3 linked regions of the Rattus norvegicus genome follow. The protein of the gene in region 1 interacts with the protein of each later gene in a pairwise test. Links are inferred from orthologs where the notes say so. Each region holds a gene or a part of one and is shown in the gene's direction. Other genes may lie near its edges.

Region 1 (3,562 bases):
GTGTGCTTCAGGTGGTACGGTTGTAGACCACATGTACCTTTAGAAACAATATGTTTTAGTTCATGTGACATAAAAGTGGACATCTGTCTGTGGCTCATTGGCAGAGATCTTGATCAGTGTTACATATCGTTCAGGCTTCAATAGTAGTAAAAAAAGAAGTGCTTTATCAAAAAAATCAAATTTATTTCTTATAATGCACCACATGAGTCCCCTGAGCTGTTCGGACTCAGGATTAGTTTTCCAGACACATTTTTCACATAAAAAAAATAGCTGTCAGAGGTGACAGCCTACAATTGTTAAACTGACGGAAATAAAGACTAATCAATATCCATGAAGGAAAAACAAGATAGTAAAGGATGACACCAGCTTGTTCAGAATGCTGGCCACTTTCGGGATTATCGTATGGTCATCTCTGCAGCAGAGTCTGTACACAATCACTCTGTTGTTCATAGCTATATTCTTATTATATCAACGCACCTATTACTTATTATCTGCTTCACTCCAGACATTGTAAGTTAATTTTGTATCATTATTCCCCATAACGAATCTATAAGGTAACTACCATGCCCATTTTACAGTGGGAAATTCTTATCAATTTGCATTTTAAATAGTGTCAAATGCGTAGGAGAAATCATTTTGAAGTAAACATAGGTTGAAGTCCATGAAATGAGAAAACAGTATTTTGCTTTGCTATCTCTATATGTGCCTTTAAAGGCATTCTAGAAAACTGGAGAAATCATTACAATAACTTAGTCTTACATATTTGTCACGGATGTACTTAGCGGGAGCTGAGGTCTCAACACATTGCTTCAGTCTGCATGGTTGTTGTCCTTTAAGAGAATTTCTATAAAGCTAGGGATGGTGCTGTGCTTTTCTAGCATGGGCTTAATCCCCATGTCTGGGGAAAAAAAAAACCCACAAGAAAAAAATAAAACTCCTACTACTTCTGAGACAAGGTATTTCCTTACCACTGTCTTCATTTCTCCTTTCAGCTCCAAACCCACCATCTATCCGAGAAGAACTCTGTACTGCTTCCCATGACACCATTACGGTCCACTGGATCTCAGACGACGAGTTCAGCATCAGCTCCTATGAGCTTCAGTACACCATATTCACTGGCCAGGCTAACTTCATCAGTAAGTCATGGTGTAGTTGGGGCCTGTGGCCAGAGATAAGGAAATGTAAGGAAGCAGTAAGCTGCTCAAGACTGGCCGGTGCGCCACGAGGCAAGTGTTTGTAAGACATGTGAGGTTGTTTAGTATAGACTTTCATAGACAGTGTAAGCTCCCCAGGGTGTTGTAAAACATTACTGATGAATGATAAGCAAGTCGTGTATTTCCCTGCTGGGTAGTCGCTGGGATCATCCCTAATGGTTTATGTAACCCGTAGCCTTCCTTTAATCCATATCACTCCATTGACCGAAAGTGCTGCTTAATATTTGTTCCTGGGTAGCTAAGTCACCACCATTCCACGTGAGTGAACTCTATCTCCCTCCCCCTGCCCCCTCTCTCAGTCTCCTTCCATTTCATTATCATGATAAGAGAAAGTTCCCTTCAAAGGCCATTGCTTCTTTTATTCCACCTATTTGTGTCTATGAACATGTAGGTCAGTCTTCTGCCCTGTCATTCTTCTCTTTGCTACTTCTTCATTTCCACAAATAAATCCAGTAAATAAAAAAGCAGTGGTGGAGCCAAGTACAGTGGCTCATGCTGATAATCCCAACATGCAGGACGTTCAGGCAATAGAATTATAATTTCAAGGCCTATCTCAAAACAATAACAACAACAACAACCCCCAAACAAACAAACAAACAAACAGCAGTATCAGTGGGCCACAACGGTAAATACATATGTTTAAAAGGCTGTATCAGCCTACATGTGAGGATGGTTTCACCTCCTAGTGAACCGGAGCCAAGACCAGGCGCAGTAGGAACTTAACTGATTGGCTGCAGTCAGTAGGAATTGAGCAGAAAGGTTCCCCTCACTTCATTGGGGTGGGAGCAATGGGATCCAAGGAGAATCAAAGCAGAATTCAAGCAGTTGCATTGGCAAAGCTGCAAAATAATATTTTCTTTTACTTTGTACTTTGCATTTCTGTCTCTCTTCACAGAACAGCATGAATAGACTTTATTCAAATAAACCGTCTTCATGCTTTCTTTTCCTAGCTGGTAACAATTCTTGGGCAAACTTCTGGGTTTTTTTTTTTTTTTTGTCAGTACTGGGGTGGAGAGATGAGGGAGCAAAATGTTTAAAAGCACTTGCCTCCTGCAGCTCCAGTCTAAGCTGCTTGGTTCATGCACCCCTTGTCCCTGGGCATTTCTTCAGATTATGAAGTCACAAGCTCTAATAGGTTTCTTCTTATAGTATACACTGTAATTTCTGGAAGCCAGTATCAAAAACAGGAACTGTCCTTTAACTTCCTGATAGGGGAAGAATAATTATTTCCCAGAAGTTGAGAACAGGTTCAAGATATGACAAACGTAAAAATTACCACCTGTTTTCAAAGCTCCAGAATCCTTTGTAATTAAAGGCCTAAAGGAGTTGCTACTAATGACAAGGTTATAAGCATCTTAGAGTTGGACTGTCCCTTAGAAAGTATCTGATCTAATCTTCTCCTCTACCCACAAGTAACTATCTCTGCTTGAATGCTGCTAGTGAGGAAATGTTCATTTTCATGAAAGCAGTCCATTTGATTGCTGGACAGCTATGAATGGTCTCCAGTTCTCTTTGTAAATAACAGGGACAAAAGTAAACTATGTGTGCATTCCGCTTTGCCATTCTCACGTCTGTTATCTCATTTAGTCTTCACAAGCTCTTAGCCTTCCGAGATTGAATTGATTCAAGTTTCACACAAGAAGAAATTGGTGCTGCAGTTAATTGAGTTTCCCAAGGACACAGAACTCAGAAAGGATTGAGATCAGAACCTGTGACTGTCAGACTTCAAGCTTGAGGTTTCTTAATTAAACTTTCTGTGCCTCATTAACAAACATTCTATCTTTCGCATAACAGTTGCTCAGATATTTTAGGTAACTCATATGTAACTACTAAATTTCTTCATCTTTATGACTCAACCTTTTTAGTTCTTCAAGTTGCTCCCTTTCAGTCAGCTTTTAAGGGCTTTTATCATCATGAGATTTGTTTTATGGACTGTCGACTGTCGGTCAAAGTGCATCTAAAACATGCATTGTGTCAAAAATGAATATAAGTACTCTGAAAGGGTTATGACTTCCCCAAAGGATATCTTTATTTTTTATCTTCTCTGAGGCAGGCTGTCTAGTAGCTCAGGCTGGCCTTCAATTTCCTGTGTAGTAGACAGTAACCTTGAACTTCTGAGAGTCTTCCGTCTCCACTGGCTGAGTGCTGAGATTATAGACATGTATTGCCGAACTCAGTTTTATGTAATGTTGGAGACGGAATCTAGGGCTTTCTACATAGTCGGCAAGCACTCAACCAATGCAAGGGTGTCCCTAATCAATGGATTATATTTCTCGCACATGAGCTTCTGCCCTCTTGTTCTGTACGTTTCTTGGCAGCCACATTGATTACTGAATTTTTCCAAGCCT
Region 2 (4,150 bases), on another chromosome or scaffold:
GTCTTTAAAGGGACATCTCTTGGACAGCATAAGCAGATGGGCAAGAAGTTTATTCATCCCATCCAAAGAAACACCATTTGAAAGCCCGTCCGAAGGTCGAGAAAGTGTCTCTTTGGCAGAACGAAGGTACTCGGTTTTTCTCAGAACAATCTGCCTAACGCTTTCCAGTGCTGTCTCTCTAGTAGTTGGGTCTCTACTGCACAGACCCTCCCACCTCACTTCATTCTCTCCTTCGGCCATGACTGACAATCGTGAGCTTTTTCTTTTTCAGTCTTTTTGAGAGAGAGATTGGTTAAGAATAAAGTCAGAAAAATCCAGCGGTCACGAAAGCAGGCGTCTGGATGGCACTGGGAATCACACGTGCTTTTTTAAAGTTGATGCTTTCAAATCGATCCACAAGGCGGTTCACCCAGGCACCCTCTCCCACACGAAAGGGCAGTCTTCTGACAGAGATGGAAAAGAACCAACTTGGAAAGTTGCAATCTCACAGAGCTGGTTAGCTGGACAGGGAGTCTCGGGGAAGTGCTCTCGGTGTCGCAGGGTCAGCGGATATCCTCGCGTTGTGGAGCTGTCAAATCCGTGCTTGGTCCCAAAAGGCTGGTAACAGTAGAAGGTTCTCCAGCCATTCGATTTTTTTATTTTTTGTCTGTGCAGCGGCCAGTTTTCTAGTGTTCCCACCCCGCCCTCCTCCGACACCAGTCTCCGCCCCTGTCGGCTCCTCCTAGCGCCTCGGCAGGGCAGCGGGCGGGCTGCTGGCGGGGGTAGGCGGTAGACCCTGGCCCTTAGCTGCTGGGGCCTGAGGCTCCGGTGCTCCGGGGACTCCAGTGCCCACCAGTCACTGTGTCAGCGGCGACAGAGGGCAGCGTCGCCGACCCTGCCGGTTCCTGTCTTCCGGGGTACGCCGTGCTTCTCTTACCCCTCTGTCCTCGCCCACCTCCGCCAAGCCAGAGGGCACCCAGCGACCCAGCAGTCATCGAGCCCCGGGCTGCGCTGCTGAAGCACAGGGCCCCAGGCACAGAGCCCGCCCCTTCGCCCAGCCCCGTCGGTGGGGCTCGGCCCAGAAGGCGGGAGCAGGGAGGGGAGACGGGGTCCTCACACCCAGCCCCTCCCCTGTCCCCGCCCGGGACCGCCGGGAGCCGCCCCTGCCCCATGCCTGCCTCTCCGCCCAGGCACACGCGACCCGCAAAGGCAGCCATTGGAAGCAGCCCCGCCCTCGGGCAGAGTACCTCCGGACCCCGAGTCCAACGCGCGCCGCCGGCTAAGGCCGGCTGCTGCGCATGCGCGACGCCGGCCAAGGCGCATGCGCTCTCCGCGGCGTTGTCCGTTCTCGACGTTTGGAGGCGCTGGCTTGAAGAAGGGTAAAGGAAATTAAGGAGTACGGATGCCCCGAGATGTTTATCGCACAAGAAAAAACGAACAAATAAAGGTGCTTTGTAGTATTCCTAGTATAAGTGGGATATAATTAAAGATTAGCCTAAAAATTAGTGACAGCCAAGCCCCAGATTCAGTAGGCAGGGCGTCTTTGCGTTGGCTTTCGGGAAATGTAGTTGTAATGCTACCGACGCGCTCTGTTTGCGACAGAAAATACAACTCCCAGATGCCACCGCGACACTCGTCTTTGCCCGCGAACCAACGGTTCTGGAGGCCGTGGTTAACTGGGAGCGTCTGTCTGGTAAGCGTGGTAGACTTGGCTGTGAGCCGCTCATTGGAAATGGTTTTCCCCTGAAATTTTGGTGCTGAAGCCATCTGGGATTGCTTTCTTTCATTCCAGAGCCTTTCCCCAATGGCTTGCCGGGAGAGAAATAGTGCAGGCGCTAAACTTGGTGGGTGACTGGAGCAAGGATTTGGGGATAATTGTTTGGAAGGTCGAGGAGCAGCCTTAAGACAGGCAAGCTGGGGAAAACAAACGACGCCGCTGCTTCCGCAATCCTCTTGCACGGGATCTGTAAGATTCGAGAACACCCCTCTGAGCCCTACGTTCCGGATGTCACACTCGTTTGAATCTTACGGAGCCAGTTCTGGATGGATTAGGAATCCCTACTAAGCATTGCAATTGCACCTTTGTTCTTACAGGGGTGTGTTTTGCGCTGTGTTTTTGCTAAGTCAAATAGAATCCGAAGGGATCTTTGAAAGCAAGTCCGTTTTGTGTGAGACCGAGAAGAACTCCCAAATGTCCCTAGGTTCGAAGTTTTACAAGCTTTGAAAGGTTCTGTATGAAAAGAAGCCCATAAAAACCTCCCAAATGTGTTGTCTTTGAGTGATGTGGACATTTCTCAGAAGGTGTTGTGAAGTGTTTATACTTGAGAAAACTCAGATTTGGAAGGTTTGTCTAGTAAGACTGGTAATCGGATTAGATTTTAATCCTTTGTTTTACAGAGTAAACGTAGTCATAAAATATTGATCAGGGACTGGAGAGATGGGGTGGTTGTTTAAGAAGGCTTGTTCCTGGGGCTGGGGATTTAGCTCAGTGGTAGAGCGCTTGCCTAGGAAGCGCAAGGCCCTGGGTTCGGTCCCCAGCTCCGAAAAAAAAGAACCAAAAAAAAAAAAAAAAAAAAAAAGGCTTTGCTAACCTAGGACTAATCCTAGAAACTTCTAGCTTCTGTAGAAGCCTAGAATGTTTTCAGCTTCTGAGACTTACTGCTGAATAAGCTCACCCTTCCTGGCTCTCTCTGAACTCTGGCTGGCTGGTTCAGCGCCCAGCTGTTCTGACTCAAACTGGCATCTCTTGCTTCTGACTGAATTACTCTGCTTGGCTTCAAACTCACTCACTCTAGCGAACTGTTCTAACCTTCTGCTCCTGCTCATTCAGTCTTTCCCTGTGTCTAACTTGTTCTCTCTTCAACCTGCCTCTGTAAAACTCCCAGTAAAGCTCCCTTCCTTCCTCTCCCTCTGCTCTGCTCCCTCTTATGTTGCCTCTCTCCTTTCTCTTTTCCTGAGAGCTGGGCATATCCTATTCTATCAAATCTTTTTCTGATTCGTCACTTTGTCTGCCTCTCAGTTTGAAAGTAGACATCACATGGCTGCTTCCTTCTACAAACTAACTTTACCTTCATTGTTTGGGATAAAAGGTGTGTGCTAAGGGCATGTCAGTGTTCTAATCTGAGTAGCCATGTTGCTGGATTAAAATCCCACCACAGGCGAGTGGAAAAGACATAACCCCTCATCGTATTAGAAAATTAATGTATAAAATAAGTTGTGATACTATTTGATATTGTTGGCTGTGGGAACATTTAGCCCAATCTTAGAAAGTCAGGGAAGTTTTCATCCCAAGGAAAATGAAGGCCAAATGAATAGCACAAGGCTTCAGCCAACAAGTGCCTGCTGACTGCCTTCTGCTCAGTAGGGCGTCACTGAGCTTGTAGTCTAGGAGAGCAAATAAGAGTGCATGGCAAAGGAAACAATGAAGCAAATTGGAAAGGAATGAAAAGTGCTTGACTGGCGAGAAAAGGTTCCCCTTTCAGTCTGAGGAGGATCCTTGATGGCTTGTATGTGCTGGCTGCCCACATCAGCCACCTCAGCCACCTCGGGACAGCTGTTAGAAGATGAGCTAGCAGGGTGGAGTTGCCTTTATCCAAAGGCCTGCAATACTGAGAAGATGGTTTAGCCTCCAATCTGGTGTGTGTGCGCGGGTGGGGTACAGAGGACTCTGCTATTGTGGAGGATGATGCAGACAGTGAGCAGAGAGTCCGTGCTGGGAGGGGGAGTGGTGTGGAGTTTTCTCTGCCTTGTTCTGGGTGGGCTTAATTCTCCAGAGCGTCACAGGGGACCAAGGGCCCATGGTTTTTGTTTGGGGACATGGGCTGTTTTGTTTGTAGGCCCCTCCAGTTACCTTTCTCTGAGTTAATTTATGTGCTTTGCATTCTCTGACGCTACATCAAATCATCTCATGAATCATCAAAACCAAGGGCTTTTGGGAGTTCTGAAGGTCATCCAATTTAATCATCCCGGTGGGACTAAAGATTCCAGAGGGACACGAGGTCTGGGCAGAGGAGACAGGGGAAGACTGGACAGAGAGGGACCTACTTGAAAATACGGCTTTTTTTTTTTTTTTTGGTTCTTTTTTTCGGAGCTGGGGACCGAACCCAGGGCCTTGTGCTTCCTAGGCAAGCGCTCTACCACTGAGCTAAATCCCCAACCCCGAAAATAAGGC
Region 3 (4,063 bases), on another chromosome or scaffold:
GTGAAACTTAGAAATAATTTGTCTTATTGCCATCCCGCTGGGTCTACATCTAGAGTTGAGGTTAGGGGTTTACAGTAGACTGTGGGGTGAGGTGGGGATAGATGGGTGAGTTCAGAGTGGGTGGGCTTTTTTTCTGTTGCCCTGAGCAACAGAAGTTAGAACAGGGGCAGAACAGGGATACAGAACATACAACCACTCTTTTCCTCATGACAGAGATTCAGGGAGCTGGTGGAAGTAGCCAGCAGGGCGTGCCAGGTGACCCCCACAATTTAGCCTGCAAGCTCTGTCCTTGTCTTTCTGCCAGAGACCCCAGCAATCCTATCTGAGCTCGCTGGGAGGAAGGATAAAGAGGGGTCAGCATTAGGGCTTAGTGCCAGCAGAGGTCACTATGGTGCTGTTTCACCCAGGGCCCCAAACTTACACTGCTTTACCCTCAAGTCAAATAGGTCCTCATGTGCCCCCAGGGATGGAGGAAGGTAGCCATACAGAAGTAAACCATTTAAACAAGGGACTTATTCCATTACCCCCCTCACCCGCACTTTCATCTCAAAAGTATATCTTCTTTGTACTTAATAACTCACTCTCACGTTAAAGGGGCCTTGCCTTGCCTGGGCTCTTTTCCACACTCCTAATGGCCACTCCCTGTAGGCCCACTACTTGGTTCTAATGCATCTCATTTCCCGCATTTTCCACACTTCTCTGTCCACTTCATCCCCCCTCCCTGGGCTTATCTAAGCACCTACTGCTTTTCTTCTTCACCATCCATCCGCTACCCAATCTCTCCTTCGCTCTCACGTACCCCTAACTCTAGGAAAGTGGTGCCCCAGGAGCCAGCTTCACACACCGGACTCCTCTGGCAGACCCTGCCTCCCTGTCTGGTAAGGGAGTAACAGATCAGAGTTCCTGAAAGGTACCAGCGTGATCAGAGAGGCCACCTCAACAAGGGAGTGAGGTTATTGGGGCGGCAGTAGCACACGCCTTTAATCACGGCACTCAGGAGGCAGAAGCAGGTGGCTCTCTGAGCCCGAGGTCAGCTTGGTCTACAGAGTGAGTTCCAGGACAACCAGGGTTCACAGAGAAACCCTAACTCGAAAAAACAAAAAGGGAGAGGTAGTGGGGAGCTAGTGGGTCCAAAGGTTAGAGGGCAGATCGTGGGTTCCAGTTAGGTCTACAGAACTAGGCAGCTTGTTGCTAGGTAACCAGATCTCCAATCACCGCAAGAGCGCACCATACTTAGGCAGCCTCTAGCGGGTTTCTCAGCTACCCACTCTTTGTGGGATTTTGAAAGCAGGAGGAGAGACGAGCGAGAACCCAGCCACTACCCCTGCGTGCCCTGTGGCTCTGCCCCTCACCATTTCACTCTGAAAAAGTAGTCCACCCGGGCTGTTAGGTAGTTGCCACCATGAGTTTGGGCATGATGGAAGAGGAGGACCTGGCCGAATACTTCCGGCTACAGTATGGAGAGCGGCTCCTTCAACTGCTGCAGTGAGTGTCTGGTATAGCCTCTGAGCTTGGGACCACTCTTACCCACACGATGCTCCACTGCCTGATCCTTCCTTTCCTACAGCCCAGGGCTCCTCACTTCCTTACCCCATTACCCAACTCCACCTGACTCTGGGCCCCCATCACTCCCTCACCCCTAAAAGCCCATGTAGCCCTCTCTCCTCAACACACCGCTCCTTTCGTTAAGGTTTCCTTCCCATGGACATCCATCTCCGAGTTACTCCCTACATAACCCTGCTCCTGTCTCTCAGAGGCCCCTGTCCCCCTTTTGCTCTTCTTGTGCAGGAAGTTCCCAAATGTTGAGGAACAGTCAGACTCTCCATCCATCCGGCTCCTGGAGAAGAAGAAAGAGGCCAAGGTCATGCAGGAGGCCATGGAACATAAGAAGGAGGTGAGGTGGGGAGTTGGGGGTGTTAAGGGTAGGGGTACAGGGTAGGGAATGAATTAGCTGGGGCTTAAGGTTAATGGATGCTGGGCCCTCACTTTGGAGGTTGAGGTGGCTAGAGCTGGAGCTCTAGCTAGTGGTTCTAGCCTCTTCCCTCCACACAGAACAGTGGTCCTAGTATATGAGGAACTAGGGTCATGGGATACTATACTAGGAGCTCTGTGCAGAATAGGGTGCACAAACCACAAGTCCTTCTGTAACTACGTTTTATTTGAGGAGTTAGAGATTTAACCCCTGGTGACTGCTTTTCCACTGAGCTACATCATCAGCATTTCAAGAGCCTCCTGGCTAAAGGATAAAACACTTTGGGCAAATGATGTTAGAGTCTTTCTGAGCACCCTTGTCAGGCGGCTCACCTCCTCACATCCTCTAAAGACGTTCCAACGAAGAATGGAAACGCTGAACTTGCGCTGGGAGGAACTCGGTATTAAGGAAGAGCAGCTGAAGGCCCATATCCAGAAGTTCGAGCAATTCATCCAGGTACAAAGTAGGGTGGTCTGCAGTGGGTGGAGACTTTACACAGTGCTGGACCAAATGGTTCTTCCCCCTCACTTGACTTCGTAGGCTCTCCATGCTCCCGACCTTCCGGATTAAAGGTGTTTTCCCTGGTCTGGTAGCTCCTGACCTTTCCCAGGCATCTTCTATATTCTATTTACCATCTCTGAGCTGTCCCATTACCTGCCAGTCTCTGCTCTCTAGTTGACCTTTTCCTTGCCTGAGTCCAGGATAGCGTATCAAGCAGATGGGTAGATGAATGGCTGTGATGATAGACGGGAGTATTTGTGGATACAGCAGTGAGTCAGAGGGACTTGGTCCACTCACTCACTACTGTATCCCTCCATCTTTGTCCTTGCACTGAAAGTGAGGGACAGATGAAGGTGGGAAACCATTGCATTGAAGGACCACGAAGCAAAGAAACTAGTAAGAAACTCTGGCTTCAAGAATCTTTACCTTGGATTTGGGGTTAAACAACGTTCCCCTTCTTCCTTCTAAGGTCTCAGGGATCCTGAGGAAGCGATGAGTTTATCAGGATTACTAACAAAGCACAGATGGGTAGTTACAAACAGGAGCATGAATGACCCTAAAGGAGCCACACTGGAAGGTATACAGCGTAGATGATGGCTTCCATGCTTACACAGAGGACACCTCTCCCCAGTCCTTCCCTATCTATATACTCTAGCTCCTCCCAGAGACGCTAGGGTCATGTGAAACTAAGGCAGACTTCCATCCAACTGGTTGGAAGGAGTTGCTGGATACTCAAGTGAGGGTCCCCTGATTCTCTCCACCCCTTACAATGAGGGAGCACCAACGGTCAGCAAGCCCAGCTGTGATGGATCTTCTGTGGCTGGGTCCTAAAGATGACAGCAGTTTGGCTCAGAGGATAGTCCACTTAATCAGTACTTAGAGGAATGATTTGGGCTGGCAAGATGGCTCAGTGGGCGAAAGCACTTACTGCCAGGGCTGACAGCCTGAGCTAGACCCGGACGGAGGACCTGCCCATTGGAAAAAGACAATTGACTCCCAGGACTTTTCCTCTGATCTCTGGGCGTGCACTGTAGCGTGTACACACACATACACACACACAAATAAATAAAAATGTAAACAAAACAAAATCCCACCCAGACTTGTTGGTCAGCAATCCTCCAGGACCAGCAGTAGGGAAGCCCTGAAAGGCTAAGTCCTGTTGCAGGGGGAGCTCATTGCTGCCCTCTCCTGGAGGAACCCTACTCTTATTAAAGTTCCTCATTCTGGACGCACGACTGTGCAGAGCAGGGATATCAATGAGTTTTTCTTCTGAGATACAGTCCACCTGGACCAGAGCAAAGTTGATAGAGTATTTGAGGGGACAGGAAGTTTGAGAGTTAAGGGCTCCCCAAGTGACTTCCAGACAGTCAGCAGCTATGGAACTTGTTGCAAATACAGACGTCAGTAACTTTTCCTTCTGCCTCTAGCAGGTCTCAGGTTGAGACCAGACACCTATAGGTGTTTAAAAACTTTCTAGGTGTTTCAGATAGGACTGACTTTGGCATCCCTCGGGCCTCTCTTGTGCTTTGGAGCAGGACACATATCTGTTGCCTTTCTCCATTCCCCAAAATGTCCCCACCATGCGTACTC

The links. The genes of interacting proteins can lie anywhere in the genome.
Region 2: the proteins of Mid2 (region 1) and Cep57l1 interact in binary tests that used the Homo sapiens proteins (3 or more experiments, as listed by UniProt). The two-hybrid records come from large-scale screens. The link is inferred for Rattus norvegicus from reciprocal best matches to the Homo sapiens genes MID2 and CEP57L1.
Region 3: the proteins of Mid2 (region 1) and Ccdc42 interact in binary tests that used the Homo sapiens proteins (3 or more experiments, as listed by UniProt). The two-hybrid records come from large-scale screens. The link is inferred for Rattus norvegicus from reciprocal best matches to the Homo sapiens genes MID2 and CCDC42.

What each region holds. Positions count from the first base shown.
Region 1 is NC_086039.1:109,227,295-109,230,856, forward strand, and holds part of Mid2 (probable E3 ubiquitin-protein ligase MID2), read left to right. Parts: intron 1-992; coding exon 993-1,226; intron 1,227-3,562. UniProt on the Homo sapiens protein: E3 ubiquitin ligase that plays a role in microtubule stabilization. Mediates the 'Lys-48'-linked polyubiquitination of LRRK2 to drive its localization to microtubules and its proteasomal degradation in neurons.
Region 2 is NC_086038.1:46,874,020-46,878,169, reverse strand, and holds the start of Cep57l1 (centrosomal protein CEP57L1), read left to right. Parts: upstream 1-1,322; 5' UTR 1,323-1,381; coding exon 1,382-1,426; exon of another isoform or gene 1,427-1,552; coding exon of another isoform or gene 1,553-1,672; intron 1,673-4,150. Other genes in the region: Sesn1 (sestrin-1), read right to left, coding at 1-240. UniProt on the Homo sapiens protein: Centrosomal protein which may be required for microtubule attachment to centrosomes.
Region 3 is NC_086028.1:53,787,598-53,791,660, forward strand, and holds the start of Ccdc42 (coiled-coil domain-containing protein 42), read left to right. Parts: upstream 1-1,235; 5' UTR 1,236-1,402; coding exon 1,403-1,485; intron 1,486-1,788; coding exon 1,789-1,894; intron 1,895-2,323; coding exon 2,324-2,428; intron 2,429-4,063. UniProt on the Homo sapiens protein: Essential for male fertility. Required for sperm development.